Linked DNA regions of Stegostoma tigrinum. The protein of the gene in region 4 purifies or fractionates together with the protein of the main gene of each other region. This does not show direct contact. Links are inferred from orthologs where the notes say so. Each region holds a gene or a part of one and is shown on either strand. Other genes may lie near its edges. The genes, in order: srebf2, insig1, srebf1 and scap.

Region 1 (8,319 bases), on a different chromosome or scaffold from region 4:
CATCCTGGAGGCAGATGCAGTGGAGGCAAAGGAATTGGAAATAGGGGATGGATTTTTTTTCAGGAAGATGGGTGGGAGGAGGTGTATTCTAGGTAGCTGTGGGAGTTGGTGGGCTTGAAATGGATATCAATTTCTAGGTGTTTGCCAGAGATGAAGACAGAGAGGTCCAGGAAGGAGACAGAGGTATTAGAGATGGTCCAGGTGAACTTAAGGTTGGGGTGGAAGGTGCTGGTGAAGTGGATGAACTGTTTGAGCTCCTCATGGGAGCATGAGGCGCCGCCGATACAGTCATCAATGAAACGGAGGAAGAGGTGGGGTTTAGGGCCAGTTGGCTATGGAAGAGGGATTGTTCCACATAACCTACAAAGAGGCAGGCAAAACTTGGGCCCATGCGGGTACCCATGGCCACCCCCTTTGCCTGTAGGAAGTGGGAGGAATTGAAATAGAAGTTGTTGAGGGTGTGGACAAGTTTGGCTAAGTGGATGAGGGTGTCAGTGGTGGGGGATGATCGGGCCTGCGGGACATGAAGAAGTGGAGGGCCTTTAGGCCATCTGTATGAGAAAATGCAGGTGTATAGGGACTGGACATCCATGGTAAAGATGAGACGTTGGGGACTGGGGAATTGGAAGTTCTGGAGGAGGTGGAGGGCGTGGGTGGTGTCACGGACGTAGGTAGGAAGTTCCTGGACCAAGGAGGGAAAAATGGAGTTGAGACAGATGGAGATACATTTAGTGGGGCAGGTGCAGACAGAGACAATGGGTCGGCCAGGGCAGTCAGGTTTGTGGATTTTGGGAAGGAGATAGAAGTGGGCGGTGTGGCATTGGGGAACGATGAGGTTGGAGGCTGTGGGATGGAGGTCACCTGAGGTGATGAGGTTGTGCATGGTTTGGGAGATGATGGTTTGGTTGTCGGGGTGGGGTCATGATCAAGGGGGCGGCAGGAGGAGGTGTCGAAGAGCTGGCACCTGGCCTCGGCAATGTACGGTTCTCCACAGGTCTCGGCCCACTTATTCCGGACTGCCACAGGACTTGACCACTTGCTCTGGTCCTCCCTGAGTCTTGGTCATGCTTGCTCCGGTTTGCCGTGGGTCTTGGCCCACTTGCTCCAGTCTTCCAGAACTCCACACAGGGGGACGGGGAAAGGGGTAAAAGACCTGGCCAGCAGAGGTATTCCAACTATTCCTACTTTGCCGCCATATTGGACTCACTTGGGATGGGCAATAAACGTTGACCAGCTAGCAACACCCACATCCCGCGAATGAATACAAAAAAAAGTGTCTCCTAGCTTGTTGTGGTTGTGTGACCTCTACCATGAGACACTCCCTGCAGGCATTCATCTTACAGTAATTTCAAATAAAAGAAGGTACAAGCCAGATTTTGTTCCGACTTGTAACAATCTTCTCAATAATGGGGAAACAGAGATTTACAGTTCATGGAGTCATAAGAACAGATACGGACCCTTTAGTCCAATTTGTCCGTGCCAACCAGACACCCAATCTGACCCAGTTCCAGTTGCCAGCATTTGGCACATATCCCTCCAAACCGTTTCTATTCATGTACCCATCCAGATTCAATTTCTGGATCACAACATCACAAAATGTTGTAAGTTGATGTGATGTAAATGGACTTGATAAAGTTCCAGGTAACAGGCCTGTAATCAAAGTTGAAGCCTATGGAATAAAAAAAAAGTAACAGCATGGACACAAAGCTAGCTTGAATGACAGGAAAGATTAATACTGTAGTGGTGATGGTTGCTTTTTGAACTTGAGGAAGATGTGCACTTGCATTCCCTGGTTGGTATTGAAGAAGTGTCTAAAAAGTTTAGTATGAATTGTCACAAATGCATAAATGACTGATTTAAAAGCAAGATCATTAATTTGCTTGACTTAGACCGCTAAGATTTTTAAAAAGCACCAGGTTCATTTAATAAACAAAAAGACTTAAACTTATTTATTTTAACAAGTTTATCCTTTAACAAGTGGCAATTAATCACTACTGTACAAACTTAAACTATACCCCCTTTAAACCTAAACACTCAATATTCTTTCACAAGTAGGAGGAGACATATCATGGGTAGGGAACATAAGGGAAAAGGAACAAATTCTGTGGATCAAGACTCCAAATGACAAAAACGCAATAAGATAACTTTCTCATAGTTCTTTTGGTTTTTGGCAATGGTATTGCATTGTTGTTGACTGTGGTGATCTCCAGTTCAGTAGCTAGTCAGTTGGATTTAAGTTGTTACTTGAGTTAGAAGCTCTATTTTCAGCATCTTTAGTGCTTTATTTATCCACTCAGAGCAGACAGCAAAAGATCTGTATTGCACATCCCTTCTTGGAAGTTTTAATGCCACTGCGCCTTTCTCAGTTCTGTGACACACCGCAACTTCAAACAAATCCAAAGTACTTGGCGGACAGTGCTTTTTGAACCCAAAGACACCTGGTGCTAGCGAGTCTCACAAAGCAAATAGCAACAGACATTTAAGGAGGCATTTCATGACTTGCAGCAAAATTATATCCCAGTAAGGAAAAAAAATTCTAAGGGGGGATAAACTAACCATGGTTAACCAAGGAAATTAAAGAGAGCACAAAGATGAAAGAAATAGCATTTTGAAGATAAAAGTCAGTGATTGCCCCGAAGACTGGGACAAATTCAGAATCACCAAGAGGACTAAAAAATAGTAGAAACAGGAAATAAACAATGAGGGCAAACTAGTAAGAAATACAAGAACTGACAAACAGAGCTTCTTTAAATACATTAGATGAGAGAGTTCAAAGTGAACATGTCACCCTTAGAAAATGAATCTGGCAAGATAGTTATAGGGAACAAGGTAATGGCAGAGGAGTCCAACAGATACTTTGCATCAGTGTTTACAGTGGAAGATATTCCAAAGTGCTATTAATACTAAAGGATATGGGGGAGGAATTAAACACCATCATTAGAGAAATAATATTATGGAGCTTAAGGTAGTTAAGTCCTCTGGCTCTTATAGCTTGCACCCTAGGATCTTGAAAGTGGTTACTGCTATGATATTGGACACATTGGTTGTAATTTTTCAAAAATCTTTGGATTCTGGGGGAGAACTGGAGGATTAGTAAACTGCTGTGACATCTCTATTCGAAAAGTAAGGGAAACAAAAGGCGGGTAACTATAGGCCAATTAGCCTAATGTATATTGTTGGAAAAAGGTTGGAATTGATTATTCAGGAAGTTATACCAGCATGTTTGAAAAATCATAATCTCATCAAGCAGAGTCAACATGGCTTCACGAAAGGGAAATCGCGCCTGACTAATTTTCTAGTTTTCCGAGTGTCTCAACCAAAGTGTATAGAGGGAAACCAGTAGAGGTACAGGTAGTTCTGCCATAACGCTTGTTTCGCTGATGTGAATTGGCTGTCACGTGATTGATGAACGGTGGACACTGTTTGGATAACTCAAACTTTCTACTGTATAGTTTAGCGATTTTGTATAACGATTTCCCTATAACATGACTTTCCAAAGCGATTTTCTATAGCGCAAACTCATGTTGGACTTTCGAGTTCTTTTTCCTTGACTTATTCTAAGTTAATGTGATTGGCACCATGTATGTATGGCGAAGGTGAACACTTTTCACTGTTTTTACGTTGAATACATGTGAGAATAAATGATTCAATTCAATTCTTTCACATGAGATCACACAAGCATTACAGGAGAAATAACTGTTGCGTTCAGACTTCTGGAAGGTGTTTGACAAGGTAGTTTAAACCCACCAGAAAAAAACATAATCTATAATTGAGGGGAATGATGATTTAAGATAATGTTAGAGTCAAGATTTTACATTATGAAAAGAAGTCTTTCGGCCTCTTGGTCCAAACCAACCATCTATCTATTCTCATCCCATTTTCCAGCAGTTGACCCATAGCCTTGTTTGCTGTTGCATTTTAAATGCTCATATAAATGATACTTAAATGAGTGAAGAGTTCCCACTGCTACTATCTTGTCAGGCACAGAGTTAGATATACACAACCCTGAGGGCAAAAACCTTTTTCCTTAAATCCCCTTGATACCTCCTATTGCTAACCTTAAAACCATACCCAAAGCCAGCCCAGTTCGTCCCCTCCCCCCACTGCACCACAAAACCAGCCCAGCTCTTCCCCTCCACCCACTGCATCCCAAAACCAGTCCCACCTGTCTCTGCCTCCCTAACCTGTTCTTCCTCTCACCCATCCCTTCCTCCCACCCCAAGCCGCACCCCCATCTACCTACTAACCTCATCTCACCTCCTTGACCTGTCCGTCTTCCCTGGTCTGACCTATCCCCTCCCTACCTCCTCACCTATACTCTCCTCTCCACCTATCTTCTTTTCTCTCCATCTTCGGTCCACCTCCCCCTCTCTCCCTATTTATTCCAGAACCCTCACCCCATCCCCCTCTCTGATGAAGGGTCTAGGCCCGAAACGTCAGCTTTTGTGCTCCTGAGCTGCTGCTTGGCCTGCTGTGTTCATCCAGCCCCACATTTTATTATCTTGGATTCACCAGCATCTGCAGTTCCCATTATCACTCACCCTATTTTCAAACCGTTCTTCTAAGGAGAAGTTATTCCTTAGAGGTTTGTACGCCTTAATCAAATGCCTCCTTCCCCCTGAGGAAAACAACTCAAAACAAAGAACTGCGGATGCTGGCAATCAGAAATTGCTGTAAAATCAGCAGGCCTGGCAACATTTGAGAAGAGAAAGCAGAGTCAATGGCTCGGGCTTAGCGACCAGTTCCGTTCTGAAGACTGGAATTACTTTCTCTCCGTTATGCTGCGTGGTTTACTGAGGTTTTTCAGCAATTCCACATTTTCCCAGCCTTGATTCGTGCAATTTTAATTTCATTCCACAGCCATAATCTCTTTACGCTGGCAGGTATTGGACGAAAAAGACGGAAAAAACATTCCCACCCTCACCTGACGCAGCATTGGGCAGAAACACCTACGGCGAAATTTGGAAAGCAAGCCGCCGCCGGTAACCAAGGCGACGGACTGTACCCATGTTGACGTCGCATCACCCCATCAGGCCGGCTGGCCCAGCGATTGGCCGACCCACATCTCGTGTTTGCGGCCAACACCAACGGACGCCGCTCGCGCCACCGCTCGATCAACACGCGCACCGGATGGGGTGAGGCCACCGGGTCACGGGGGCGGGGCATGAGGAAAGGGGGCTGGCCAAGATGGCGGCGGCGGCAGTGGAATTGCGAAGAGAAATGATAATGTTGGGTTAAAGTAACAGGAACCTAAACTGAGATACAGGAAAACGTAACCCTCTTAATATCGGAATCCCTAGCATTCGACCCTTAAAACAATGGAGGGTGAGGATATATCGTTTGAGAATATGGACCCCTCACTGAGTGAGCTCAGTGAGGGGCTGAATTTTGGGGATATTGATGGTGAGTTAATGCTTTATGTTTCCTCCCAAAATGTATGTTAGTCTGTTTAAAACCAACGTATACAAATGATCATTCTGAATGTACAATAGGAATGTTAGGAAATAGGCTGGATGGAATTATGTGTAGAATCTTATTATTTGTGTTAACAAAAACAAAGTTGCTGGAAAAGCTCAGCAGGCCCGGCAGCATCTGTGGAGGAGAAGACAGAGTTAACGTTTTGGGTCTGGTGACTCTTCCTCAGAACTAGATCCGAAGCGTTCACTCTGTTTTCTCCTCCACAGATGCTGCCGGGCCTGCTGAGCTTTTCCAGCAACTTTGTTTTTGTTAACACAAATAATAAGATTCTACACATAATTCCATCCAGCCTATTTTCTAACATTCCTATTGTACAAAGTTGCTGGAAAAGCTCAGCAGGCCCGGCAGCATCTGTGGAGGAGAAGACAGAGTTAACGTTTCGGGTCCGGTGACCCTTCCTCAGAACTAGATCCGAAGCGTTAACTCTGTTTTCTCCTCCACAGATGCTGCCGGACCTGCTGAGCTTTTCCAGCAACTTTGTTTTTGTTCCTGATTTACAGCCGTTCTTTTGATTTTTACTTATTATTTGCGTAATTGTTTCCTTTGTTTACTGTTAGTTACCATCACTACTCATCTGATATTTGTTTACTAACTTTTGGTTATTGCACTGACAGTAAATTGTAAAATGTAGAATGGAGAATGTGATCTGTGTGTAAAATCTGTGATATCAGAATCATGATAATGTGGTAACTTGTAAAATATTGTGATAACAGAGCCTCTCTGATTCTTATTCACAACAGTGTGCATTTATATCTTTAACATAAAATATCCCCTGCTGTGCTGGGCATCTGGTATTAAATGAGCAAAAATTACTTCTTGTTAACTGTTCTGGACATTGAAGCAATCATCATTAGATCCTGCTTTAAACTCCATTAACTGATCTTTTTTTTTATCTCTGCCTGACAACTGTCTGAAGCTGAACCAAATTGCCCACAATTGGGGTGTCCGGTTTGGCCCTGAATTTAACTTCAGACTACATCTTCTCTCAGACTTTCTCCTGAGAGTCGCCAACACTATATGCTTCCTCCTTCTCAACATTGTCTATTTCTGCCATGGCCTGTGCTCAGTTACTGAAAACCTCATCTGTACTTTTGTTAGTTTTAGATTTGCCTATGCTAGTGATCAATTGGCCAGCTTTCCATCTTCCACACTCGATGTACTTAAACACATCCGAGTTCTACTGCCCATGACTTAACCTGCACCAAATGCTGTTCATTTGTCATCTTGCTCTTGCTGCAGTACATCAGTTCCTGCTTTGGCAATTCTGGATTACAAATACCTCATTTCCTTTCAAGGTCTTCAATTATTGTTGCTTGTTTATCCCTATTTCCTTCACCCCATTATTGGTAGCCATGGTTTCAATAATTTATCCTATGTTCTGCAGTTTTCATCTGAAGCTGATCACTGCATTTGTCTTTACCGAGGGCCTGCTTAAAACCTGCCTTTTTGATCTGGTTTTTGTCTTAAATCCTGCTTCTTTGACTTGGTGTCAATATTTTGTCTGAAAGTGCTCAATGGAATATTAAGCTAAATCAAAGCTACTATATAAATGCCGTTCATTGCTATTTGGTTGCTTTACTCAGGAATGATCTATCAGTTTGATACCAAAAGAGAACATTTTGCCAGATGCTGGCTGAAATAATGGATTTTGAAGAATGAGTAGGTACTGGCATTTATGGCAGAATCTAATGATTTTGGCTTTGATAGTCCAAGTACTTAATTGAAAGAAATTTTTTCTTATACAATTGGAATTCTGTTCATCAAATACAAAATAAATAATTAACCTTTTGACTTTTTTAAAAAAGAGATCCACTCTCAATTTTATTTTTATTACATTGCTAAGTTCATATATTTCTTCATGTCAACTAACCTATAAAATACAGGACAAACCAACTTATTGATAGACTAAAACCCTTTTCATTTTATAACCTTTGCCCATTTGAAGGATGCCTTGAGGGCATGAAAGATATTAAGTATGTAAGTTTTTTTTGTGAATTAAAGTCTCTGATCATCTTTGGAGAAAATATTGATGGGAATTGGCAGCACGGTGGCTCAGTGATTAGCACTGCAGCTTCACAGTGCCAGGGACTTGGGTTCGATTCCAGCCTCGGGTGACTGCGTGTGGAGTTTGCACATTCTCCCTGTGTCTGCGTGGGTTTCCTCTGGGTGCTCCGGTTTCCTCCCACAGCCCAAAGATGTGCAGATTAGGTGGATCGGCCATGCTAAATTGTCTGTAGTGTTCAGGGGTATGTGGATTTTTGGGGGATGGGGATGGGTCTAGGTGGAAGGTTCAAAGGGCAATGTGGACTTGTTGGGCCAAAGGGCCTGTTTCCATACTGTAGGGAATCTATTCAAGAATGAGGTGGAGTAGCATGGGAGGAGGCTCCGGAAAAGCATGTAAACTGACACAGACTAGGATGGTAACTTTTCTGTGATGGAATCTGGTCTGTCACCTTGAAAACAAACCAAACTCCATCATCAGCATTAATAAGGATATATCACTTGGTTTACTGTAAAATTTGATGGCCACAGATTAGCATCTGTTATAGTCATAGTATTACAATTTGTTCTCGCCTTTGAGCATTTGCTGATGCAAGCCATGTAGTCAGCTGTAGCTCAGTTGGTTGCACTGTTGCCTCTTATCACAAATTTATGGGCTCAAGTCCCACTGCAGCGGACTTGATTACAAAAATACTCAGGTGGCCTTTTCCACAGATTGAAGATGAGAGACTGAAAATGTTTATCCTACTCTTCCTCTCCATGGATACTGCCTGACCTGACTTTTTCCACCATTACCTTGCTTTATTCTTGACATATACCAAGGGAATTAAACATGATTAG
Region 2 (8,099 bases), on a different chromosome or scaffold from region 4:
CAGAGATGGGCCTTTCAGCCCCTTGAGCTTGTTCTGATATTCAATGCGATGTAGGTGTGGGCAATGTCTCACTAACAGTGTTAACCATCATAAAAACACAACCCATCTTTCTGAACATTATCTCCAAATAGCAGGACTGAGAACAGTCACCAAGACACCTGAAGTTCACTATAACAAAACAAAGAACTGTCGATGCTGAAGGTTTGAAGCAGAAACTGTTGCAGAACCTCAACAGGTATTGCAACATCTGTGGAGAGAAAGCAAGAGTTAACATTTCCAGTCCAGTGACCCTTCTTCGGGGGTTGACTCGGCTTTCCCTACGTAGATGCTGCCAGACCTACTCAGTTTTTTTTCTGCAATGCCAGTTCCTTGTTGCATGAAGTTTCACTTCTACAAGAAAGTCACCACAGAAACTCCGAAGGTCGATCACGTGAGCTGTACAGCAGGTAACGAACCGTATTACATAAAATTTAAATCTTTTCTGGCTTCCTTTGAAGACCACCTCTCCTGTCTATTGCGCCGAGATTGGGTTGAGCCTATTTAAAAGCAGGTGAATGCTAACATCAGTGAAATAGAAAGGGTGGGGAGGGAAAACACACAATGTTAATAAGTTCAGCACTCAGCAGTATTACAAACTCTTGAGACAGGCTCAGCATCCTGTCACTTCATTTCCTTGCTTTCATTCTGTATTTTAGTTTAGAAAGCCAAGTGGTATGTTGCACATGACAACCAATCAGGAGCGAGCAGTCCAGCTCACCCGTTGCCAGCTGAGCCAATCAAGAAACAGCACTGCACTCCAAGGCCCCGCCTCCTCCAGCGCGCTTGCAATTTCATGCAAATCTAGCGACACGTGGCGCGAAAAACCTCCCTCAGGAATATAATTGAAATGAATCATCGGCGTTAAAAAACACTGGCATCTTCCGCTAGTGCGAAGATGTCTTTTGGAACTTCAACGTCAACTAGCCTTGTTTTATTTCCATTTCAAGGCGTGAAAATTGACAGTTTATGAAAGAAAAACTGACTTCCTATTTAAAAGTTAATAAAATGTGAGGCTGGATGAACACAGCAGGCCAAGCAGCATCTCAGGAGCACAAAAGCTGACGTTTCGGGCCTAGACCCTTCATCAGAGACCCTCTCTGATGAAGGGTCTAGGCCCGAAACGTCAGCTTTTGTGCTCCTGAGATGCTGCTGGTCCTGCTGTGTTCATCCAGCCTCACATTTTATTATCTTGGAATCTCCAGCATCTGCAGTTCCCATTATCTCTGATCCTATTTAAAAGTGTTCTTTCTTGTGAGCGGGGAGATATGTGTGTTGCAAATGGTTGGGGATTGTTCGAATTAAGCCACTTTTTTTTATCTTTAGAGGTTGGGAGTTACTATAATTTTACTGCAAGTTTCACACCAAAGTTGAGATGCATTTTCTGAAAGAATCGAGGATTTACAGTGTCACAACACAAAAGAGGTTGATATGTTACCGCGTTTGGAGAGAAAAAAAGATTTGAATTGCGGAAAATGACAAACACATGCTTCTGTCGAATACAGACGCCAAATGCTCAGTGTTAAAGAGTCAAGAAGTTATTGATTTAAGGGTTTGTCAGCTCTAGTGCTTACAACTCATTAGATTACCATGTTTGGTGACAGATGCCCAATGCAAGAACACAGTAGGATTGGAATGTTTTTTAATAAAAATGCTGAAAAACTAAGAACTTTTATCGAGGCTTTCAAAACATCTGTATTCCAAATTCAAGTCTAATGACAATTTGTTGACGTTTTAATAGGACAAGAAGTATTTTTTTAAAATAACATTATTTAACAGGTCTGGTTGATATTTTAAAGAGTGCCCCTTTTTCGTTGAATGGAGGATAAAGTTTGCTACAGGTTACTCTCTTGAACAACTTCAACACTGTAAAAAGGCCTAAACTTATTGGCATATTGATTTCTCCCTCCCAATACCCCGCGCTTACCTGCCGCTGTGCCACAACAAGGTGGTACCCACCAGGCAGAGGAGAAAATTGTGGCAATGACCTCTTCGGGGAACAGGGTGACGTGCCTCTGGATCTGCAGCAGGTTCAACACCAGCGCCAGAAACACTCCCACGGTGAAAAGCACCAAGCCCCGCCGCAGTAAGTTCATGGTGTGACCGCTAACCAGGGAGCAGTAGGCACTGACTAGGATCGAGCTGACGATGGTCATCATCTCGTAGACCTTTGCCACCAGCAGTGTGCCGTTACTTTCAGACGGATGTACCCGGGTGCAACTGCACGACCAGCAAGTTTCTTCGATCCTTGACATTTGGTATGGAGAGGCAACTGGCAGGAATTACACTAAATTGGCGGCGCCTCCACGGCCCTGCAGGGGTGAACAGCAAACGGAAAAGATAAAATCAAATGAATTCATTTGAGTGACACTTAAACACAACAGGGGAGCGTGTCCAAATGCCAAACTTTGTGAAATTATCGACACAGCAAGACCAGTAAATACTGAACACTGCGATATTCCAAATGTTAAGCCACTGAGAATGGTGGTGGATTTGCAAGTGAAGATGGTCTCAAGAGTTAATGGTAAAGAAACAGGCTCGCCCTGATACGTTAGCTTCGTTTTTTTTCTAGGCTAATGATGGCCTCAAACATAAGAGAGCTAGCTGTACAAACAGGGAGAAAGCTTTACAGGCAAACACATCCTATCGTCCCGAACAGACACAAGATAAATACTCATTTTACTTCTTACAGCCACACCGGGTTACAGTATAACCAACTCATCACTGAAGCACTAAAACTCATTCCAGTGAAATCAGCCTGATAAACAAAGCTTACCGTCCAGTTTTGAGCAGCGCTAGCACTAAGCACCATTAAAAGCCAGCCTTCTGTGAAAAAAAACAATGGGGGTGGAACTTTGTGCAGGCAACGCTTTTCAGGTTGCCAGTTGCTCTACATTGTATGTGTGGAATTATTAGGTCACATCCTGCAATGGGACTATTCATACAGCGCAGACGGGCAAGCGGTCAAAACAATCTGTCTGGTGAGACTCTTGGAGCCAATCGCAGTCTGAACGGCCCATATGACGTTAAGGACACACCATTCGGTGCACCGTCCGTTTGCACAGGAAGAGGAGGATAAACCACACCTTCCTGTCAAGGCATCATAAAATACACGCACTGTCACTCTTTACTCATCCGTTCTCCTCCCCCCCCACCCCCGCTTAAAGACTGAGAAATGAAACTGAAGTGCAGAGGAAAGCGGATTGAATGGTGACCCAGACTATTTGACAGGGTGAAGTGACCTTGTGTAAATTACAGACAGCCTGTGAATGTGGGAGGCAGGCAGAACGTGTAGAGGGACGAAGCAGAGCCTGAATCTGCAGCACCACCTTATTTTTAATGTTCTGTAATTATCTCTCTGCCTCATTTGATTGGATTATAGGTCATTCCTTGGTTGGTTATTCAGCTGTTGACACTTTTACTCACTGTCTAATACTCCTGGCCATCTGCAGAGACTTGTCATCTGACACTCGACTCATTAGAATGGATCTTTCCACCTCTCTGCTTGTAATCCATGGGTCAGTGTGCCTGCTGTCTCACCACACTTGACAAAAGGCTACACTCCAAAAGCTTGTGATTTCAAATAAACCTGATGGACTATAACCTGGTGTCATATGACTTCTGACTTTGTCCACCCCAGTCCAACACCAGCACCTCCACTTCCTGTCCTTTTGAGTAGGAAGTCTTCCAAACCTGCTAAGTTTCTCTTTCAATTCCTTCCACTTCCTGCAGACTAAGGGGATGGCCGTGGGCACCCGCATGGGCCCCAGCTATGCCTGCCTCTTTGTAGGTTACGTGGAACAGTCCCTCTTCCGCACCTACACAGGCCCCAAACCCCACCTCTTCCTCTGTTACATTGATGACTGTATCGGCGCTGCCTCTTGCTCCCCAGAGGAGCTCAAACAGTTCATCCACTGCACCAACACCTTCCACCCCAACCTTCAGTTTACCTGGGCCATCTCCAGCACATCCCTCACCTTCCTGGATCTCTCAGTCTCCATCTCAGGCAACCAGCTTGTAACTAATGTCCATTTCAAGCCCACCGACTCCCACAGCTACCTAGAATACACCTCCTCCCACCCACTCTCCTGCAAAAATTCCATCCCCTATTCCCAATTCCTCCCCCTGCGCTGCATCTGCTCCCACGAAGAGGCATTCCACTCCCGCACATCTCAGATGTCCAAGTTCCTAAAGGACCGCAACTTTCCCCCCACAGTGATCGAGAACGCTCTTGACCGCGTCTCCCGTATTTCCCGCAACACATCCCTCACACCCCGCACCTGCCGCAACCGCCCAAAGAGGATCCCCCTCGTTCTCACACACTACCCCACCAACCTCCGGATACAACACATCATCCTCCGACACTTCCACCATCTACAATCCGACCCCACCACCCAAGACATTTTCCCATCCCCACCCTTGTCTGCCTTCCGGAGAAACCACTCTCTCCGTGACTCCCTTGTTCGCTCCACACTGCCCTCCAACCCCACCAAACCCAACACCTTCCCCTGCAACCGCAGGAAATGCTACACTTGCCCCCACACCTCCTCCCTCACCCCTATCCCAGGCCCCAAGATGACTTTCCACATTAAGCAGAGGTTCACCTGCACATCTGCCAATGTGGTATACTGCATCCACTGTATCCGGTGTGGCTTCCTCTACATTGGGGAAACCAAGCGGAGGCTTGGGGACCGCTTTGCAGAACACCTCTGCTCGGTTCGCAATAAACAACTGCACCTCCCAGTCGCAAACCATTTCCACTCCCCCTCCCATTCTTTAGATGACATGCCCATCATGGGCCTCCTGCAGTGCCACAATGATGCCACCCGAAGGTTGCAGGAACAGCAACTCATATTCCGCTTGGGAACCCTGCAGCCCAATGGTATCAATGTGGACTTCACCAGCTTCAAAATCTCCCCTTCCCCCACCGCATCCCAAAACCAGCCCAGTTCATCCCCTCCCCCCACTGCACCAAACAACCAGCCCAGCTCTTCCCCTCCACCCATTGCATCCCAAAACCAGTCCAACCTGTCTCTGCCTCCCTAACCTGTTCTTCCTCTCACCAATCCCTTCCTCCCACCCCAAGCCGCACCTCCATCTCCTACCTACTAACCTCATCCCACCTCCTTGACCTGTCCGTCTTCCCTGGACTGACCTATCCCCTCCCTACCTCCCCACCTATACTCTCCTCTCCACCTATCTTCTTTTCTCTCCATCTTCGGTCCGCCTCCACCTCTCTCCCTATTTATTCCAGAACCCTCACCCCATACCCCTATCTGATGAACGGTCTAGGCCCGAAACGTCAGCTTTTGTGCTCCTGAGATGCTGCTGGGCCTGCTGTGTTCATCCAGCCTCACATTTCAATATCTTGGATTCTCCAGCATCTGCAGTTCCCATTATCACAAGTTTCTCCAGCATTTGTGTTTGTTTCAGATTTCCAGTATCCACAGTATCTTATTTCTATTCAAGTATATCCAGGTAGCAGTCGAGGAGAGTATAACATTCATTGTGTGAGGCTGAACCTCACAGATGCTGAATTTTCATCACTTGCAAGATTGCCAACTTGGCCTGTAATATTATGGTCACCCAATTCTGTTCTGATCCAGGGCTACTGAAAGCACTCAATTCATATCTCTTACGTGCAGAAAGCAGTTGGACAGAATGTCATGTTTTGGCATGTAAATTCTAGATAACGTTATTTTTAAGTGGAAATGTTTTGGATAAAGGAGTAATTTTATATTGACAATACAGTATGGAGCTGGAGGAGCACAGCAGGCCAGGCAGCATCAGAGGAGCAGGAAAGTTGACAAAGTTGAGGAAGGGTCCCGACCCGAAACATCAACTTTCCTGCTCCTCTGATGCTGCCCGGCCTGCTGTGTTCCTCCAGCTCCACTCTGTTGTTTTTGACTCCAGCAGCTGCAGTACTTGCTATCTCTGAGTAATTTTACATTGGGCCACTCTCCTCATACTCTCCCTTTAAATCTGTTTTTTCTCCAGTACCACAATGAATGGAATGGTTGAAAATATGTAAGAATGACTCAGTGAGAATGCTTGCTGACTCTAAATAGTGGGATTGAATAAGAGGAATATGAACACTAGTACAGATCATTTGAGCTCACCAAATGGCCTATTTCTGCAATTCTATGCAACAAGGTCCCTGCAATTCCAGTTGTATTTTCTCCACAGTAACTTTATCTGATATAGGGTACTCTCTGAGTGAAGGACCAGTCTCTATTGATAGTGCAAGAAAATGATGGGGCTACAAGATCAGCCATAATCTCAATTCAGTGGCTCAAAGAGCTGAATGGTCTGCTGCTGCCCTTACTTCTTGTGTTCTTATGATAGCAGACACTTTCTACATTCAGCATGTCATGTGTGCAAATCCAATTTAACCCAGATTTGAATCAAAGCAAAATTCTCTGGATGCTGGAATATGTTTATTCCTTCACAGGATGGGGGTGTCGCTGACTAGGCCAGCATTCATTGCAAATCCCTAATTGCCCAAAGGGCAGTAAACAGTCAAACACATTGCTGTGGTTCTGGAGTTCCATGTAGCCCATGTAAGGATGGCAGTTTTCATCCCTGCAGGATATTGGTGTACCAGATGGATTTTTACCAACTATGAACAATAGTTTCATGATCATCATACAGTGTGGAAACAGGCCATTCGGCCTAACAAATCCACACTGACCCCTAAAGAGCATCCCCCTAACCTTTGCCTGTACCCCTACATTTTCTATGATTAATGCACCTAACCGACACATCGCTGGTTACTATTGGGCAATTTAGCAAGACCAATACACCTAACCTGCACATCTCTGGGTAGCAGGAGGAACCAGAAACTGCTGGAGAATCTCATCAGGCCTGTCAACATCTGTGGCGAGAGGCACCGAGTTAACATTTAAAATCCAGCATGACTCTTCATACCAATTCTGAAATGTTAGCTCTGTTTTGCACACTTCATGGATGCTGGCAGGCCTGCTGAGTTTCACCAGCTGTTTTTCTCCAGCCCCTTATGCTTTTAATCCAAATTTGGATACACCAGTCTGACCACAAAATAATTTGTCTTGAGTTATTTCAAAAGGAAAGAGGAACTGAAATATCAGCTTGAGAAACAGAGCATTGAAATATGATGAAGGGTCTAGGCCCTAAACGGCAGCTTTTGCGCTGCTAAGATGCTGCATGGCCTGCTGTGTTCATCCAGCTCTACACTTTGTAATCATTGAAATATGAATCTATTCTAACTTGCTGATTGACACTACAGGAAAACTGTAACTTCCTCCAGGGAGGTAAGTAATTGAAGTCTTGCTGCTTTTGTTAATCAATTTCCAGCAGCAACTTTCTGCCTGGAATACAGTCAGAATTGCAGAAATAAGCTGGCATCTTATTCTCCGACACTTCCGCCATCTACAATCCGACCCCACCACGCAAGACATTTTTCCATCCCCACCCCTGTCTGCTTCCGGAGAGACCACTCTCTCCGTGACTCCCTTGTTCGCTCCACACTGCCCTCCAACCCCACCACACCCGGCACCTTCCCCTGCAACCGCAGGAAATGCTAAACTTGCCCCCACACCTCCTCCCTCACCCCTACCCCAGGCCCCAAGATGACAATCCACATTAAGCAGAGATTCACCTGCACATCTGCCAATGTGGTATACTGCATCCAGTGTACCCGGTGTGGCTTCCTCTACACTGGGGAGACCAAGCGGCGGCTTGGAGACCGCTTTGCAGAACACCTCCGCTCGGTTCGCAACAAACAACTGCACCTCCCAGTCGCAAACCATTTCCACTCCCCCTCCCATTCTCTTGATGACATGTCCATCATGGGCCTCCTGCAGTGCCACAATGATGCCACCCGTAGGTTGCAGGAACAGCAACTCATATTCCGCCTGGGAACCCTGCAGCCCAATGGTATCAATGTGGACTTCACCAGTTTCAAAATCTCCCCTTCCCCTACTGCATCCCTAAACCAGCCCAGTTCGTCCCCTCCCCCCACTGCACCAAACAACCAGCCCAGCTCTTCCCCTCCACCCACTGCATCCCAAAACCAGTCCAACCTG
Region 3 (8,165 bases), on a different chromosome or scaffold from region 4:
AGAAAATAAAAAGATTCAGTCTTTATAATGTCATCTACTCGCAACCCCTCAACTCAAGGGAGCACTTTTTTCCATTTATCCAGAACCTGCTCAATTTTGAACATTTTTATAAATCTTCTCTTCTCTAAGGAAAACAACCCAAGATTGTCCAACCTACTGTCCTAACTAAAATCTTTTGTCCACGAAACAATTCCCACAAATTGTTTCCGCAGCCTCTCAACTGCATTTCCAAAGTATGCTCTCTAAACTTGGACTCAATACTATAAGTCTGCACTTTAAGTTGCCCTGTTTTAAATCTTCTTGATGCAATATTGTATTTTTCAAGGGGCCACTATTCACACAGTCCATTGAGAATGCCCATGAACGTCAGCCTGCAGCAGCTATGACATGAGATAGTATAACCCATTTGCTGCCATGGTGGGGCAGGGTCTCCTGCTCCCTGACACCACTTCCCCTCCCTAACCCACTTCTACAGCTTGTGGCTTGCCTCCGTGACCCTAATACTTGAAACTGCTCTCACTCTATAGATTACCTCCTGCCAATTGGTGCTCACAGCAAGTGGGAGGCAGGAGCAGTAGCCAGCAAGGAGGGCAGTGGCAACCAGGAGAGTTGGGAAGCAGGTGGCTGTGGAAACATGAATGGCAGTGAGCTGGAGGCTTATGGAGCAGAAGATGCAATGAGTAGAGAAATTGGCAAGTGAGATGAGATCAGCCATGTTCATATCAAATGGCAGAGCAAGATGGAGGGCTGAATTGCCTGCACCTGTTCCTAGTTCTTATGTCCTAAGCCGCAAGAATTAGAACATTCATTTTTCTTTTGATCAGAAACTTACTTAGAAAACTTAGCTAAAGCTACATCATAATGGGAAAATCAAATTTGCCTAACATTGATTTAAGTTGTTTTTTTCAGAAATGTAATTACGCTACTAAATGAGGAATTGTTGTTCTCCATTTGAGCCAAACAAGTATTTTTTAAAGTATAACTTCTTTGCTTTAGCGCATTATACCTCTATTTATAAAGCCCAAGGTCACATATTTCTCAATTACCCTTTCTCAATGGCTCTGCCGTGTTCAATAATTTACAAACATATACCACCCAGGTTCCTCTCATTGTCCACACCCTTTAGAATTGTATCCTTTATTTTGTATCAGCCTCTCTCTGCTCTTCCTCCAAAATGTAACACAGCATATTTCTCTGCATTAAGTTTCAGCAGCGATGTATTTGCCATCCCACAAGCCACTCTGTGATCTTTTGAAATCTATCTCAATCTTCTGTACAATTCATAATACTTCCAAGTTTTGAGTCATTTTCAAATTTCTAAATTGTGTCCTTTACATCCATGTTAAGGTTTCAATTTAGATCAAAAAAAGCAATGGTCCCAATACTGACTTGGGATTTCCACTCTGTTATTGTCTTCTAGTCTGAAAAACAACTGTTCACAACCACTCTCTATCTCTAGTTGCTCAGCCAACATTGTATTCTTGCTCCCAGTGTTGCTTTTCTTTCATAGGTGTCAAATTTGCTGACACATATATGACATGGCATTTCAGGTTCTCCCTGTTGCTAATACCACTTTTAAATCCTGATGTTCCTTTTCAGGTTCTGGACTCTGAGCCTCCTCTCCCTGTTGTAGTAACTGACTGCCTCCATTCAATCCATGCTGTTTTTCCCTTTGAAGCTGTTCTCCCTTCTCACTGCACAGCCTTGTTCCTCAAATATCAAAATCCACAGTGAGGAACTGGACAATGCGGATCAATTCTCATAACTTGGCAGCCACCTCTCAGTGAAGAGAAATAGATAATTAAAATCAACATTACATCCAGCACAAACTTTGGTAGTCGATGGACAGATTGTTTGATGACAAAGACATCAAATCTAGTACTGTGCACATGATCTATAGGACCACCTCCTGGGATTCCCTTGCTCAAGGTTGCCCAAGATAGTCCAAACTAGAGAAGAAGCATCTACGTAGCAGCATCCAGCTGAATGACTACAACAAGCCCAGGTGCAGGTCAAGTGCAAACAGTGGAAAATGTATGCAAAACCTTGAGCATCACACCCATCTGCCTCTTCAAACACCATGTGTCTCACCTTTAACAGGGTGTGCAGATCTGGAATCAGGCTGCCTGATCACTTCAGGACACAACATTGGAATGGAAGAAAGTCATCCTTAATCTTGGGGGAATGCCGAACAAAATATGACACATCATTTAGTTTCTTTTAGAAGTGTCAGTATACCACATCAACCATATTAGATGTATCATTCATTTCTGTTACCTCATAAAATTCACCATTAAGTTTGTTAAACATATCTTGCATTTAACATATATTTTCTGGCTGTCTTCAGTTAATACACATTTGACCAAGTGACTGTTAGTTTTGTTCCAGGCTATTATTTTTAGTGTCTTTCCACCACTGAGATTAACCTTCCCTTTTTGATCCCTAATCTACTCCACACCTTTTTTTGCCACACTTTTTTTATTCATATGCTCTAGAAGATGTTTGGAATTCCTTTTTGCATCAGCTATCAGTTTCTTCTCATCCTCACTGTTTGAACAGAGAACACAGAACATACAGCAGAGCAGTATAGGCCCTTCGGCCCACAATGTTGCACCGACCTAATATCCTTCTCTAAGATCAAACTAACCTGCGTACCCTACATTTTACTATCTTCCATGTGCCTATCAAAGAGTCGCTTAAATATCCCTAATGTATCTGACTCCACTACCACCACCGGCAGCGCATTCCATGCACCAACCACTCTGTGTGTCCTGAAGTGACCAGACAGCCTGATCCCAGATATGCACACCCTATTAAAGGTGGGGCACATAATGTTTGAAGAGAGGGGTAGGTGTGATGCTCGGGGTTCCGTATACGTTTTCCACTGTTTACTTCTAATTTCCCTTGGAACTTTCTATATTCAGCCTGGTTCTCACCTGTATTATCAATCAGACATCTGTCATATGCATTCCTTTTCCACTTCATCTTACTATCTGTCTCTTTCGTCATCCACAACTTTTGGTTTTGTTTGGCTTACCTTTCTTTCCCTTGAACATACCTTGACTGTACCTGAACCATCTCATGTTTACAGTCAACCAATTGTTCTGTTGCAGGACTGTTTGTCAGTCATTGCCACTTACCTGTGCTAAAAGTAGTCTCAACCCACTCACTCTCAATTAAGTATTTTTACTAGGACTGCTAGCCTAAAACTTAGATGAGATCATCATTGTCCACTTGATCTGCCTTATTGCACAAAATCTAATCGATCAATGATGCTTTCTCATCTGGCCAAAAAACACTGACTAAAAATCTCTCCTAAATGCACTTCAAAATCACTCAGTCTCTTTTCCTTTATTGTTACCATCCCAGACTTATTAGTATAATTAAAGTTCCACATAATAACAACTGAATTACCTCTTCACCTCTGTGTAATTTCATTCCATATTTATTCCTCTATATCTCTCCAATTAGTTGATAATCTATGCAATATACCAAATATAGTAACAGTGTCTCTGCTGTGTTTTTAGCACTACCCAAATAGATCCTGACCTTGACTTAATCTAAGATATCAAATACATGCATCCCTCCTGCTTTCTTTCCTTTCTTTTATTTCCCAAACACCATCTATCCAGGAATATTTAATAACCAGTCTGCTCTTTTTCGTACCCGATCGTCATTACTTCCAGATTGGAAGTCATATGACACCAGATTATAGTTGAACAGATTTATTGGAAATCACAACCTTTCACAGCGCTGCTCCTATGTCAGTTGAAGTCACCATTACTTGGCATCGTGTGTTTTCTGACCTTGTTCACCCCAGTCCAACACCTGCACCTCCACTTTATTATTTGCACATCACAATTTTCCCACCTGACTGTGCGTGCTGCTTACCAATCTTTTATTTAAGCAGAGTCAAAAAGTTAAGACGGGTCCTAATAGTTGTGCTCAAGAATGATATTTCAAGCTATAATAAAACAAATAACCATGGATGCTGGAGATCTGAAACAAAAATAGAACTTGCTGGAGAAACTCAGCAGGTCTGACAGCATCTGTGGAAAGAAAGCAGAGTTAATGTTTTGAGTCCAGTTACCCTTCATCAGGATACATTCAATATATTGTAATGATTTATGTTTGAAGTGAGCTGATATGGAGTATTACGCCAGAGACAATAGGAACTGCAGATGCTGGTGTTGCAGTGGGAGAGAGATCCCCTTGTCTGGAGGGAGGAGGGTAACTTCTTCAGGTTAGGCATCCCTAGAAGAGGCTTCGAAGTGAGATTAAAATTGTATCAGAGATGACAGGAACTGCAGATGCTGGAGAATCTTGGATAACAAGTTGTGGAGCTGGATGAACACAGCAGGCCAAGCAGCATCAGAGGAGCACAAAAGCTGACATTTCCAGCCTAGGCAATTCATCAGAAATGGGGGAGGGGGAGAGGGTTCTGAAATAAATAGGGAGAAAGGGGGAAGTATTACACCATTAGTTTGAGCCACATAGCTTTTTTTGTGGCCTAACAACCTCTTTAATTGTGCTGAAAAGTCCAATTTACTTGTCCAATCTACTTATCTCTACCCTCCCACCTCCAAAACTTGTAACAGTTTCTTGTTGTTAACCACAAAATCGACTAGTCCTAACCCCACCACGTGGGGAAGTGAGTTGATGTAATCCCCACAAAAAGAGGGCGGCGGCTTGCAGCGATGACGATGGATCACCCCACGCCGCAGACCGCGCTCTCATTGGCTGCATTCCGCTGGTTCTAGAGGCACGCGGGCCAGCTCCACCCCCGCGCTCGCCGGCGCCTTCTCAACCGAACTTGAACATAACCTGCAAATGATTGGTGCACTTTGCCCGCCCAGTAGGGCGAGCCCACAAGGACCTGGCCTCTCATTGGCCATACTAGTTATCAATCAAGAAGATGAGTTCGTGTCTTCGGGAGATACCCTCCCTCTTCAGCTCCTGCCAGCGAGTTAGGTGTCTCCTGGCGTTTATTGACATGGTTCCACGGCCGGTGAGCCCGGTGTAAACAGCGAGTTCAACATACCCTTCACCCGCCCTGCCCCACCTCATCCCACCCCACCCTACCCGGGCCGGTTTGATCCTCCCCTCTCCGCGTCTGGGACATTCACCTTGTTTAACATGAATAACAGTGGGAAGTCATACGCTGCTCCTGATCCGGCCATGATGTTCGAGGATTCGGCCCTAGACAGTCTGGAGCCGTCTCTGACCGAGAGCAGCGAGATCGATAGTGCACTGCTCAGTGACATTGATGGTGAGTGATGGGCAGGGCTTGAGAGGGCAGCATTCCGGGTGGGGGAGCAGGATCGTGGAGGTATAGGGCAGAGCCTGGCTCCTTTGGATAGTCTAGAAGGTCTAGATGTTAATGTTAACAACTCTGCTCGTTGTCTGGTAGAACAGGACACTGCTTAATGGGCTGTTTGAAGATCCAAAGATTGAGCTTGTACTCTGCATTGACAGTTGTAGATAGAACTAACAATTTGTAGAATTCCTTGGTAAACAATTCTTACTGAAATCAAAATCAAGAATACTGGTAAAATTATTTAATTAAGAGTAAATGCTTCCATGATTTGTGGAAAATTGTATAAACTTACGTACATAATATTGTTGTTCTACTTCTAAACTTCGTGCAGCATTTAAGTACAGGCACTTTATAATAGTTAAAGTCAGTTTGTATTAGGGTAGGGTGTAAACAGCCCTTAACTCGGGATGGTAATGGTGTTAGTGCAGCTTAAGTCATTCATTGAATTTTATTCTGGTAAAATTACTTGTCAGACTGCCCCTTTTCTAACATAAATGTTTAAACATTGATGAGAGAAAGGGATTTATGAAAAAATTACACTTAATTTCAATGAGATATGGGGAAAGGAGAAAATCATCTTTACACTTAATCAATATAAAACTCATATTTCAAATCGTTCAATTTGTATATCATCCGACGTGGAGAGTATGCACCCTGTTTGCCCTGGTGCTCAGTATAATCGATTCGTTGCAGTTTTGGCAAGGTTACAGTTGCTGACTTGTGTGTTCAATTTCAACCCAACCCCTTTCAGCTCAGTCAGTGACGTCACGCCTGGGTTACTCGCGGTTATTGCCTTCTGTGAAATTCTCAAGTTCATCTGCACATTGATCTACTCCAAGACGCCAACAGCATCTTGGAAACTTTTGAGTTTTTACAAACCAAAAGGAATTATTTTCTGTACTTGGTTTTAATCCATAACAGTACTTACATTCTGAGAAGCCCTTTCTGATATTTTAAAATTGTTAACCTAAGTTTTTCAGTATGTTATATGATGCACTCATTTTTAAAAAATCTAGAAATGAACTAATGTTGCAGTATTAGACTGTGATTTTTAAATGTCTTGAGTGAGTTTGATGGTTTGTACTATATCTGTATTGGAATTAGCACTGGGGAGCAGATGTCCGAAAGTAACCCCTGGTTATTCACCTTTGTGAATTAGTCAGTGCCCCTGGAAGTATAGACTATTACACAAATCCTTTCTGTCATGTCTGAGTGGTTAGCCAAACATAGCGAGCAACTGGGGCACTGCAGCGATTGGTTCAACCAGATCACCTCATGAGAAAAAAACAGATTCCAACAACCGCCCCTCAATTTGAATACAGTCAGTGGATTTTTTTTCTTAGGAGGAGGAAGAGGAGGCAAGAAGTATAGAGCAATTCTGTTTGCTTACTGTGCTGCAGTGTGGTTTTGTATGTGCAGTGTTCCGAAAGACGAAACAGATAAGCTCCTAAGGTGCTCTTGTGCACTACAAAAATATTGCTCTTAATGTAGCAGCATAACCCTTGTATCAAGTGTTGAACAGATGAAGTGTAGCAATGGACTGCACATTTGAAGGTAATACTGTTACAGTATAGTGTTACTGTAAAGATTGAGGTTTACTGGTGCAAATATTTGTGCAGATAGTGTATCTTAATGCTGTTGTAAACAGTCTCTTTCAATTATTGTACAAGATGGCTACATTTGATTTCAGATGTATGTAGTTCACTTTTAGAATAGCATGAACAGCAGAATATTTAAAGCAAAGCTTTAAAAACACATTTGTGATAATGGGAAAATGGTACTAATGAAAATGTTTGTGCTATTTGCTCATAATTCTAAAACAAATTAGCATTTATGCAAGATCTGAAATACACAGGCATTGGCAGTTGTCCATAATATGTGGGAGCCTTGGAGATTGTACAACTAATGGAAATGATATCCCCATCAAAATCTGATTAATTGGAAATTGATTGTGTTAAAGTAGCTGTTGATATGGAAATTGATGGCGTTAAAGTAGCTGTTGTGTTTTTGTTATAACTTTAAAAAATTCTGATTTTTCCAGTGTAGATCTTATGAACGAAAATTACCGCCATTTATGTAACACCTTATCAGAAGATCTGACGACCCAAGATACATTGGAATTAATTAATTAGTTTTGCATTCCAGTTACATTGTGATGTTGTAGTGATTTATTTAGTTGGAGCAAGCCTGCAACTGGGGGAATGTAAATGCTTTTATAAGTCGACAACGAATGTGCTACTGGCTGCTTTATTTCAGGATACAGTTTGCTGAAGTAGCAACTTATCTGTCTAGTCTTGTAATATGTATTCCACTTTATTTACAGATATGTTGCAGTTGATTAGCAATCAGGATGGAGATTTCCCTGAATTGTTTGACAACACCTTTTCTAGCAGCCCTCTCCAGGATAGCAGTTCATCCATCACACCTAACCAGGGGTCTCTGAACTTGACTCTTGACAGCCTGTTGGGGAGTAGTGGCAAGAATCAAATTCCCGCAAAAACGTATCAGGCCTCCAGGGTCCAACAGCTTCAGCGTCCGCAGCAATCGCAGCTCCTTCAGGGCCCCTCTCCACAACGTGTCAAGCAAGAAAATGCTCAGATGCAACAGAGTCAACATCAGCAGTCTCTCATGATGTCACAGAGTTTTACAACCTCAACACAACTACAGCCACAGTTTGTGCAGCAACAGTCACTGGGCTTTCAGAATTCCAATGGATTTACAGGTAATTGATTATTTTTAACATGCCACAGAATGAATATGTTTTTTTCTTGGTTTGGGCCTTTGAATAATGATAATTAAATACAAAATGTGTAAATTGAAATAGGATTAGAAGAATGAAGGGCTCTTG
Region 4 (7,263 bases):
CAGCCTTGAATGTTGCAGAGGCAGGGTGCATTGGATATTGGATAAATATTATGCAACGACATGTTGCAAACTCAGGACATCTGCTACTTAGGATGAGGGGAAAAAAGATGCATGGGCAATCCATTGCCCTCAGGTTTCCCTTCAAGTCATGCAATGAGTGTTATGTGAGAGCAGATGAAATGTAGCACAAGAAGATGGCTAATGAACTCTTTGAGCTCAGTTAGAAAAAAGTGCCAGCCTTGTCAATGACAATTATATCCAATCACCAAAGTCAAGCAGAGAAGCCTTGATTTCACAATGCTCTACTCTGAAGTCCATCGCATTCTTGAGAATAAATTTCATTGTGGATGACTGGATGCATTATGAATTGAACATAGATAACGAGTTGAACTCTGGCTATTTCAGATCCCCATGGCGATAGAATTTTCAGTCCGTCCCAATATATCAGTTCACACAGACTCAGTTTCAACTCAATCTTTTGTCTTTGAGTTGCTAGAAATCTTAACTGATTGAGGTGGCCCAGTGGCTCAATAGCTGGCAGTGCTGCCTCAGCGCCAGGGACCTGGGTTCAGTTTCAGCCTTGGGGTGACTGTCTGTGTGGAGTTTGCATGTTTTCCCGATAGCTGTGTAGGTTTCGTCTTGGTGCTCCATTTTCCTCCACGGTCCAAAGATGTGCAGGTTAGATGGGTTAGCCTTGAGAAATACTGGGATGAGGTGGGTCTGATTGGGATGCTCTTCGGTGGATGACTGTGGATTTGACAGGCTGAATGGCCTGCTTCTGCACTGTAGGGTGTCTCTGAACTATGTTAAGTTACTATATTGGTAAATTGCCTAAGTGTCCAGTGATGTGCGGGCTGGGTAGATTAGCTATGGGCAATGCAGGGATACAGGTGTGGGTCGAGATGGGATTTTCTTGGAGGGTCGGTGTGGACTCGATGGGCTAGATGGCCTGCTTCCAAATTGTAGGGATCCTTTGACTGAGATGAAGGCAAGAGGAAGAGTTAGAGCTGGGCAAACATAGACAACTGTGGAAGCAAACACTATTTAATTTGTACAGTTAAAGAGCACTCCAATGAAGAAGGCATTTTTGGGAACTGAATATAATTTTGAGAGAATTAGAACCCAGTAGTGAAAATAAACTGGCTTTCACAGAATTAAGAGTAGACAAAGATAGTTCAACTTAGACATTTTTCTTTTATCATTCCAACACTGGCAAAAATGAAGGCCAAGCAGCATCAGAGGAGCAGGAAAGCTGATTTCAGGTCGAGATCCTTCTTCAGAAATGGGGAAGGAAAGGGGATTCTGAAATAAATAGGGAGAGAGAGAGCGAGGGGAGATTTTGAAGCTTGTGAAGTCGACATTGATACCCTTGGGCTGCAGGGTTCCCAAGCGAAATATGAGGTGTTGTTCCTGCAGCTTTGGGCAGGCGTCATTGTGGTATTGCAGGAGGCCCAGGATGGACATGTTGTCCAAGGAGTGGGAGGGGTAGTTGAAATGGTTTGCGACTGGGAGGTGCAGTTGTTTAGTGCAAACTGAGTGTAAGTGTTCTGCAAAGCGGTCCCCAAGCTTCCGCTTGGTTTCCCTGATGTAATGGAGGACACAATGGGAACAGTGGATACAGTATACCACATTAGCAGATGTGCAGGTGAACATCTGTTTGATGTGGATGGTCTTCTTAGGGCCTGGGATGGGGATGAGGGGAAAGGTGTAGGGACAGATGTAGCACTTGCTTCAGTTCCAGGGAAAAGTGGTGGGGGTGGGGGGGGAGTGTGGAGCAGACAAGGTAGTCATGGATAGAGTAGTCCCTCCAGAAAGCAGAGAAGGGTGGGGAGGGAAAAATGTCCTTGGTAATGGGGTCAGATTGCAGATGGTGGAAATGTCAGATGATGTTGCATTGGATTTGGAGGTTGGTGGGGTGGTATGTGAGTATGAGGGGCATTCTGTTATGGTTATTATTGTGGGTACGGGGTGTGAGGGTTGAGTTGTGGGAAATGCAGGAGCCACAGTCAAGGGCATTTTCTATCAAGGATGGAGGGGAAGTAGCAGTCCTTGAAAAAAGAGGACATCTGGGATGTCCGGGAGTGGAATGCCTCATCTTGGGAGCAGATGCGGTGGAAGTGAAGGAATTGAGAATAGGGGATGGCCTTTTTGCTGGTGACAGGACGTCTATTCTAGGTAGTTGTGGGAGTCAGTAGGTTTGAAATGGATATTGGTTTCCAGGTGGGTGCCAGAGATAGAGACAGAGGTCCAGGAAGGACCTAAGTGGAGGCTTGGGGACCACTTTGCGGAACACCTATGCTTGGTTTGCACTGAACAACTGCACCTCCCAGTCACGGACCATTTCACCTCCCCCTCCCAGGACGACGTGTCCATCCTGGGCCTCCTGCATTGCCACAACGACGCCACCCGAAAGCTGCACGAACAGCATCTCAGATATAATGGGAACTGCAGATGCTGGAGAATTCGACATAACAAAGTGTGGAGAGATAATGGGAACTGCAGATGCTGGAGATTCCAAGATAATAAAATGTGAGGCTGGATGAACACAGCAGGCCAAGCAGCATCTCAGGAGCACAAAAGCTGACGTTTCGGGCCTAGACCCTTCATCAGAGAGCTCTCTGATGAAGGGTCTAGGCCCGAAACGTCAGCTTTTGTGCTCCTGAGATGCTGCTTGGCCTGCTGTGTTCATCCAGCCTCACATTTTATTATCATATAACAAAGTGTGGAGCTGGATGAACACAGCAGGCCAAGCAGCATCTTAGGAGCACAAAAGCTGATGTTTTGTTTGCTTGGGAACCCTGCAACCCAAGGATATCAATGTAGACTTCACAAGCTTCAAAATCTCTCCTCCCCTGACCGCATCCCAAAACCAGCCCAGCTAGTCCCCGCCTCCCCAACCATTCCTCCCACCTCAAACCCCACCCCCCTCTCCTACCCACGAACCTCATGCCCCCTCCTTGACCTGTCCGTCCTCCCTGGACCGACCTGTCCCCTCTCTAACTCCCCACCTACATCAATCTTCACTGGCTCCATCCCCACCTCTTTGACCTTTCTATCTCCTCTCCACTTCTATCTGCCTTCCCCCCCTATTTATTTCAGAATCCCCTTCCCCGCCCCCATTTCTGAAGAAACGTCAGCTTTCCTGCTCCTCTGATGCGGCTTGGCCTGCTGTGTTCCTCCAGCTCTACACCGTATTGTCTCAGACTCTCCAGCATTGGCAGTTCATACTATCTCTGGCAATAATGAATTTAGCTCTTTGGATTTCCCTTCAGCAACTTTGCTGATATTCTTTTCTTCAAAGCTCATTCCATTTGACAATAATTTTGGTCATCAAATGGATATCTCAAACCAATTCAAAGACGATAGTTTTGAAGCGCTGCCACTCTTGTAAGAAATGTGGCAGTTTTTTTATACACAAACCTCCCACAAACATTAGTGTATACGCCAACGGGAAATCTGTTGTATATGTTGGTTGGGAAAGAAACATTGCTGAGGAGTGCTGGCAGGGGGACAGCTGTATGGCCGATTTCAGTTCACATATCAGCCTAAATGTTGGTAACACTGACCGTGTAAGATTTCCTGAGTGCCATGTAGATTGTACTCTGTAGGAGCTGTTGAAGACTTAATAAGCTGAACGGCCTCCATGTGCTGTACTTTTCCATGAATTACAGTGCTTTGTATCAAGTGCAAGTTGCTTTAGTTTTTATGTGGGTGATGCTGTCATTTTTTTCTCCTATCTTTTTTAATTGATGAGTCTGTCTTACGTTGCTCAGCGTTCTTTACAAACTATCGACTAAGTGAACAACACGTGCAAAAAGGCAAAATAAGGAACAAGTCTAACACTAGCTTCATGCTTCTTATTCCGCACATCAGGCGAGGCATGGGGATGTGGGTGGGGCTAACCCCGAAGCCTGCGGGAGATGGGCGAAGTTAGCCCGGGGCGTGCTATCTGCGAACGATGGGAGGGGTTGACCTGTGGGGCAGCGGATTGGAGACCGGAAGGACTGTAGACGCTGAAAGCCACAGCCAATAGATGTGGAGCTGGAAAAAGCACAGCGGGTAAGTCAGCATCAGAGCAACAGGAAAGTCCATGTTTCGGGCTGAAACCCTTCACAGAACTGGGAATGAGGTAAGAAGGGGGAGGGATCCTGGTGTAAATAGAGGGAGGTGGAGCTGGAGAAGAGATTACATGATGAAGGGTCTAGGCCCGAAACGTCAGCTTTTGTGCTCCTGAGATGCTGCTTGGCCTGCTGTGTTCATCCAGCCTCACATTTTATCATCTTGGAGCTGGAGAAGGGTAGGTTGGATGGTGGCGCAATAGTGTTAACCCGGAGCGCGCGGACGGTGGGCGGGGTTGAAGTGGAAAGCGTGTGGTGCGAAATGAGAGGGGCAGACGGGGGCGGAGTTAATAGGGGGAGCGTGCGGCTACGCTGGGTGGAGTTTGTGTCGGGGCCGGGGCCGCGCAGTTTGGGGGCGCCGTGCTTACCTGGGAGCGTGCGTGTGTAAGGGCGACGTTAATCCGGGCGCGCGCCAACGGTGGGTGGTTAACCCAAGTGAGCGGGAGCGCGCATCATGGATTTGCGTGTTACTGAGGAGACGCTGTGGAGTGGCATCTGAGCTGAAACACAGGGACTTCACGGCAGTTAATTATAACCATCGAGGGAGAGAAATTAAGCCACCAGCAGGTGAGAAGGTTTGGTAAATGTCACTGAATTCCTCAGCTTGAACAGAGAGGACGGCTGAGTTGAACTCTTTGAATAATTTAGTTTTCCATGAGATCAGCTAGGCCCAAACCTCGTCCTGTATTTTTACACTGGAGTGGCTCATGTACCTCGCTGCTTCACATCATGTTTTATTATTATGAGGGTTGTTTTTAATCGCTTTCTCGTAACTAAAAAGAGCATCATTCCATTCTGAGCTGACGCTTGCCAGTAAATTATTGTAGTGCCAATTAGCAATTACTTTTTCCATTGTAAATTTTGAATGTAATATCCTCCATGGAAATCCGGTTATTTTGTTTAAACGTATTTACAACAAGGCTTAAAATATTAGTTTTTCAAAACTTATTTATTTACTTTTGAAATCATGTCTTGATTTTTTTAACTCCTAAAAATAGGATCTACATTAATCTCACTTCACTAATTACTCTACTGTGAAATGATTGCATTTTGAATGGAAGGCTTGAAATTTCATTTTTAATTTGATGAAAATTAATCTTAAGTGATGCTTTGGCTATTCTGTCAAACACACCTTTCTTCCCATGAGATGGTTAGTCGTTATTCAAAATGATGTTAAGCATTTGAAAGATATAAATGTTCCCTATGCAGTTGCAGTCATAAGCACACCTTTTCATTATCCTTAACAATTTCTAACTTTCTTCCTTCCCGCACCCTGTATTGACAAATTTCTTTTGTGCCTTGCTTTAATGGAATGTTGGGTGTTTCTTCGCTGCCCCCACCATATATTTGTTTTAACACAAATATAGTTCTGATGGTATTGTTTGATTTATGAGTAGCCAATTTCTTTGTGCCCCATTGCGATTGCAAATTGGTGACTGTTATTTTTCTTTGCCTCCCTTTTTTTGTGTTTGGTAGGATGATCAGGTTTCTGCACAGATTAGGTGGTAAAAATGTGACCAGCATTTTGTTTTATGTGTGAAGGTTCCTCCAAATGTTGCAAGTTTTAAAATGCTACATTTTTGCCAAATGAAGATGCTAGTCTGTTGTCAAACAATTGAAACTACAGCTGAGAAACAAATACTTCATTGATACTTTGACTTCTTATTGCTTTTATTCTTTCAAATTCTAATTCAAAATACATGTATTTGATACATAATCGTGAACTTTTCCTTTGCTCTATGAGAATGACATATTAAAGTCCCACAAAAATCAATTACTGTCCTCATCATGAGCCATTTAGATTTATGTAAACTGATGGTCCACTGTCCTGTACAGCAATAAGTATTGATGCTTTTGATTGTTTTGTACTAACACCCATCACCAGGACCATGTTTATCATCTTGTTACTTTATCCAACATTTATAAATGCAGCCAATATCTCATTATTAAATAGTAGTTTTGTTGTCAAGACAATGAGACCCTCCTTCTACTCCCCTTCCTCAGCCTTCCTTTCCCCTCCTGAGTGTGTTATTGCCTCCTGAATTGATGTTATTTTACTGAGAGCACCAGTTTTAATCTCTTGGCAAAGTCTCAACTGTAACAATGGTAAACTATTCCTGCTTGTCCTGGTTCCACCCTTTTACTCAGTTAAGAATGCCATCATCCTCAAAAAAATTCTTCATGTTTGTCCAGTTAAATGTGGCAGTACCCATCAATACTCTTAACTTCCCAAACATAATCAGCAAATCACATCATAATTATTTTTCCCATTTCAGTACCATTACAATTACTCTACCTCAAGGATCAATCCTCGATCTCCATCATACTTTTTACCCATGTGCCAACTATTATGATTCCTGAAGACTATCAGTTTTAATACATATGCTGGCACCAATTCTACTTAATTGTAACTACATGACCCTTTTGTTTTCTGAGTTGTAAACTGGTTGTTTGGCATTCAGTATTCAATGAGTAAAAATTTCCTTCCAACTAAATATTCAGAAGACCAGCAATGCATTCCATTGACTGCATCTCTCTCCCTGTTTAACAGGGCAAGTGGAGGTTATGAAAGGACAGAGACAGGCTCTATTCTAATGGGGAATAAGGAAATGGCAGAGAAATTAAACAAATACCTTATCACCCTTCATCATAGAAGACACAAAAATATTCCAAAAACAGTGAAGAACTATGGATCTAGGGGAAATGATCGACTTAGTGAAGAATTAGGTTTGAAGAAATTAATGTGCTTTAAAATAGACTGGCTTTGGACCTTGGAACCTGCATCCTATGATTTTATTCTACTGCTAGAATAGTAGAGGCCTGTTTATTTCTGGAGTCCAGAACAGTTCACATTTAATGAAAGATGTCAATCATTGCCCTAATATTTAAGGATAGGGGAGAGAAAATGGAGAAATATAGTTAGCTTGAAATTGATCATTGGAAAAATGATATCCTTTTGAGGTTGTTGAGGGTGGTTGGCTCGCTGAGCTCGTTTCTTGTTTCACAGACGTTTTGTTACCATGCTTGGTAACAACCTCAGTGCAGCCTCCAATGAAGTGCTGGTGTGTTTTCCTGCCTGGTTTTTAAACTTGGGTCGGTTGAGATGGATTGCCTCACTTCTGGTTTTCCTTCGAAGTGGAATGTA

What was found.
Region 1: the proteins of scap (region 4) and srebf2 purify together in Homo sapiens (affinity purification with western blotting; 3 studies listed by BioGRID and IntAct, with this or other methods). This does not show direct contact. The link is inferred for Stegostoma tigrinum from reciprocal best matches to the Homo sapiens genes SCAP and SREBF2.
Region 2: the proteins of scap (region 4) and insig1 purify together in Homo sapiens (affinity purification with western blotting; 11 studies listed by BioGRID and IntAct, with this or other methods). This does not show direct contact. The link is inferred for Stegostoma tigrinum from reciprocal best matches to the Homo sapiens genes SCAP and INSIG1.
Region 3: the proteins of scap (region 4) and srebf1 purify together in Homo sapiens (affinity purification with western blotting; 4 studies listed by BioGRID and IntAct, with this or other methods). This does not show direct contact. The link is inferred for Stegostoma tigrinum from reciprocal best matches to the Homo sapiens genes SCAP and SREBF1.

Annotation. Positions count from the first base shown.
Region 1 is NC_081391.1:4,386,453-4,394,771, forward strand, and holds the start of srebf2 (sterol regulatory element-binding protein 2), read left to right. Parts: upstream 1-5,144; 5' UTR 5,145-5,318; coding exon 5,319-5,403; intron 5,404-8,319.
Region 2 is NC_081355.1:142,091,240-142,099,338, forward strand, and holds the start of insig1 (insulin-induced gene 1 protein), read right to left. Parts: upstream 3,089-8,099; 5' UTR 2,813-3,088; intron 2,789-2,812; exon of another isoform or gene 2,727-2,788; intron 2,349-2,726; 5' UTR 2,292-2,348; coding exon 1,964-2,291; intron 1,033-1,963; exon of another isoform or gene 379-1,032; coding exon of another isoform or gene 342-378; intron 1-341. UniProt on the Homo sapiens protein: Oxysterol-binding protein that mediates feedback control of cholesterol synthesis by controlling both endoplasmic reticulum to Golgi transport of SCAP and degradation of HMGCR.
Region 3 is NC_081376.1:20,032,396-20,040,560, reverse strand, and holds the start of srebf1 (sterol regulatory element-binding protein 1), read left to right. Parts: upstream 1-4,964; 5' UTR 4,965-5,136; coding exon 5,137-5,269; intron 5,270-6,652; exon of another isoform or gene 6,653-6,852; coding exon of another isoform or gene 6,853-6,871; intron 6,872-7,640; coding exon 7,641-8,039; intron 8,040-8,165.
Region 4 is NC_081358.1:98,288,400-98,295,662, forward strand, and holds the start of scap (sterol regulatory element-binding protein cleavage-activating protein), read left to right. Parts: upstream 1-3,966; 5' UTR 3,967-4,059; intron 4,060-4,071; exon of another isoform or gene 4,072-4,297; intron 4,298-4,464; exon of another isoform or gene 4,465-4,685; intron 4,686-7,263. UniProt on the Homo sapiens protein: Escort protein required for cholesterol as well as lipid homeostasis.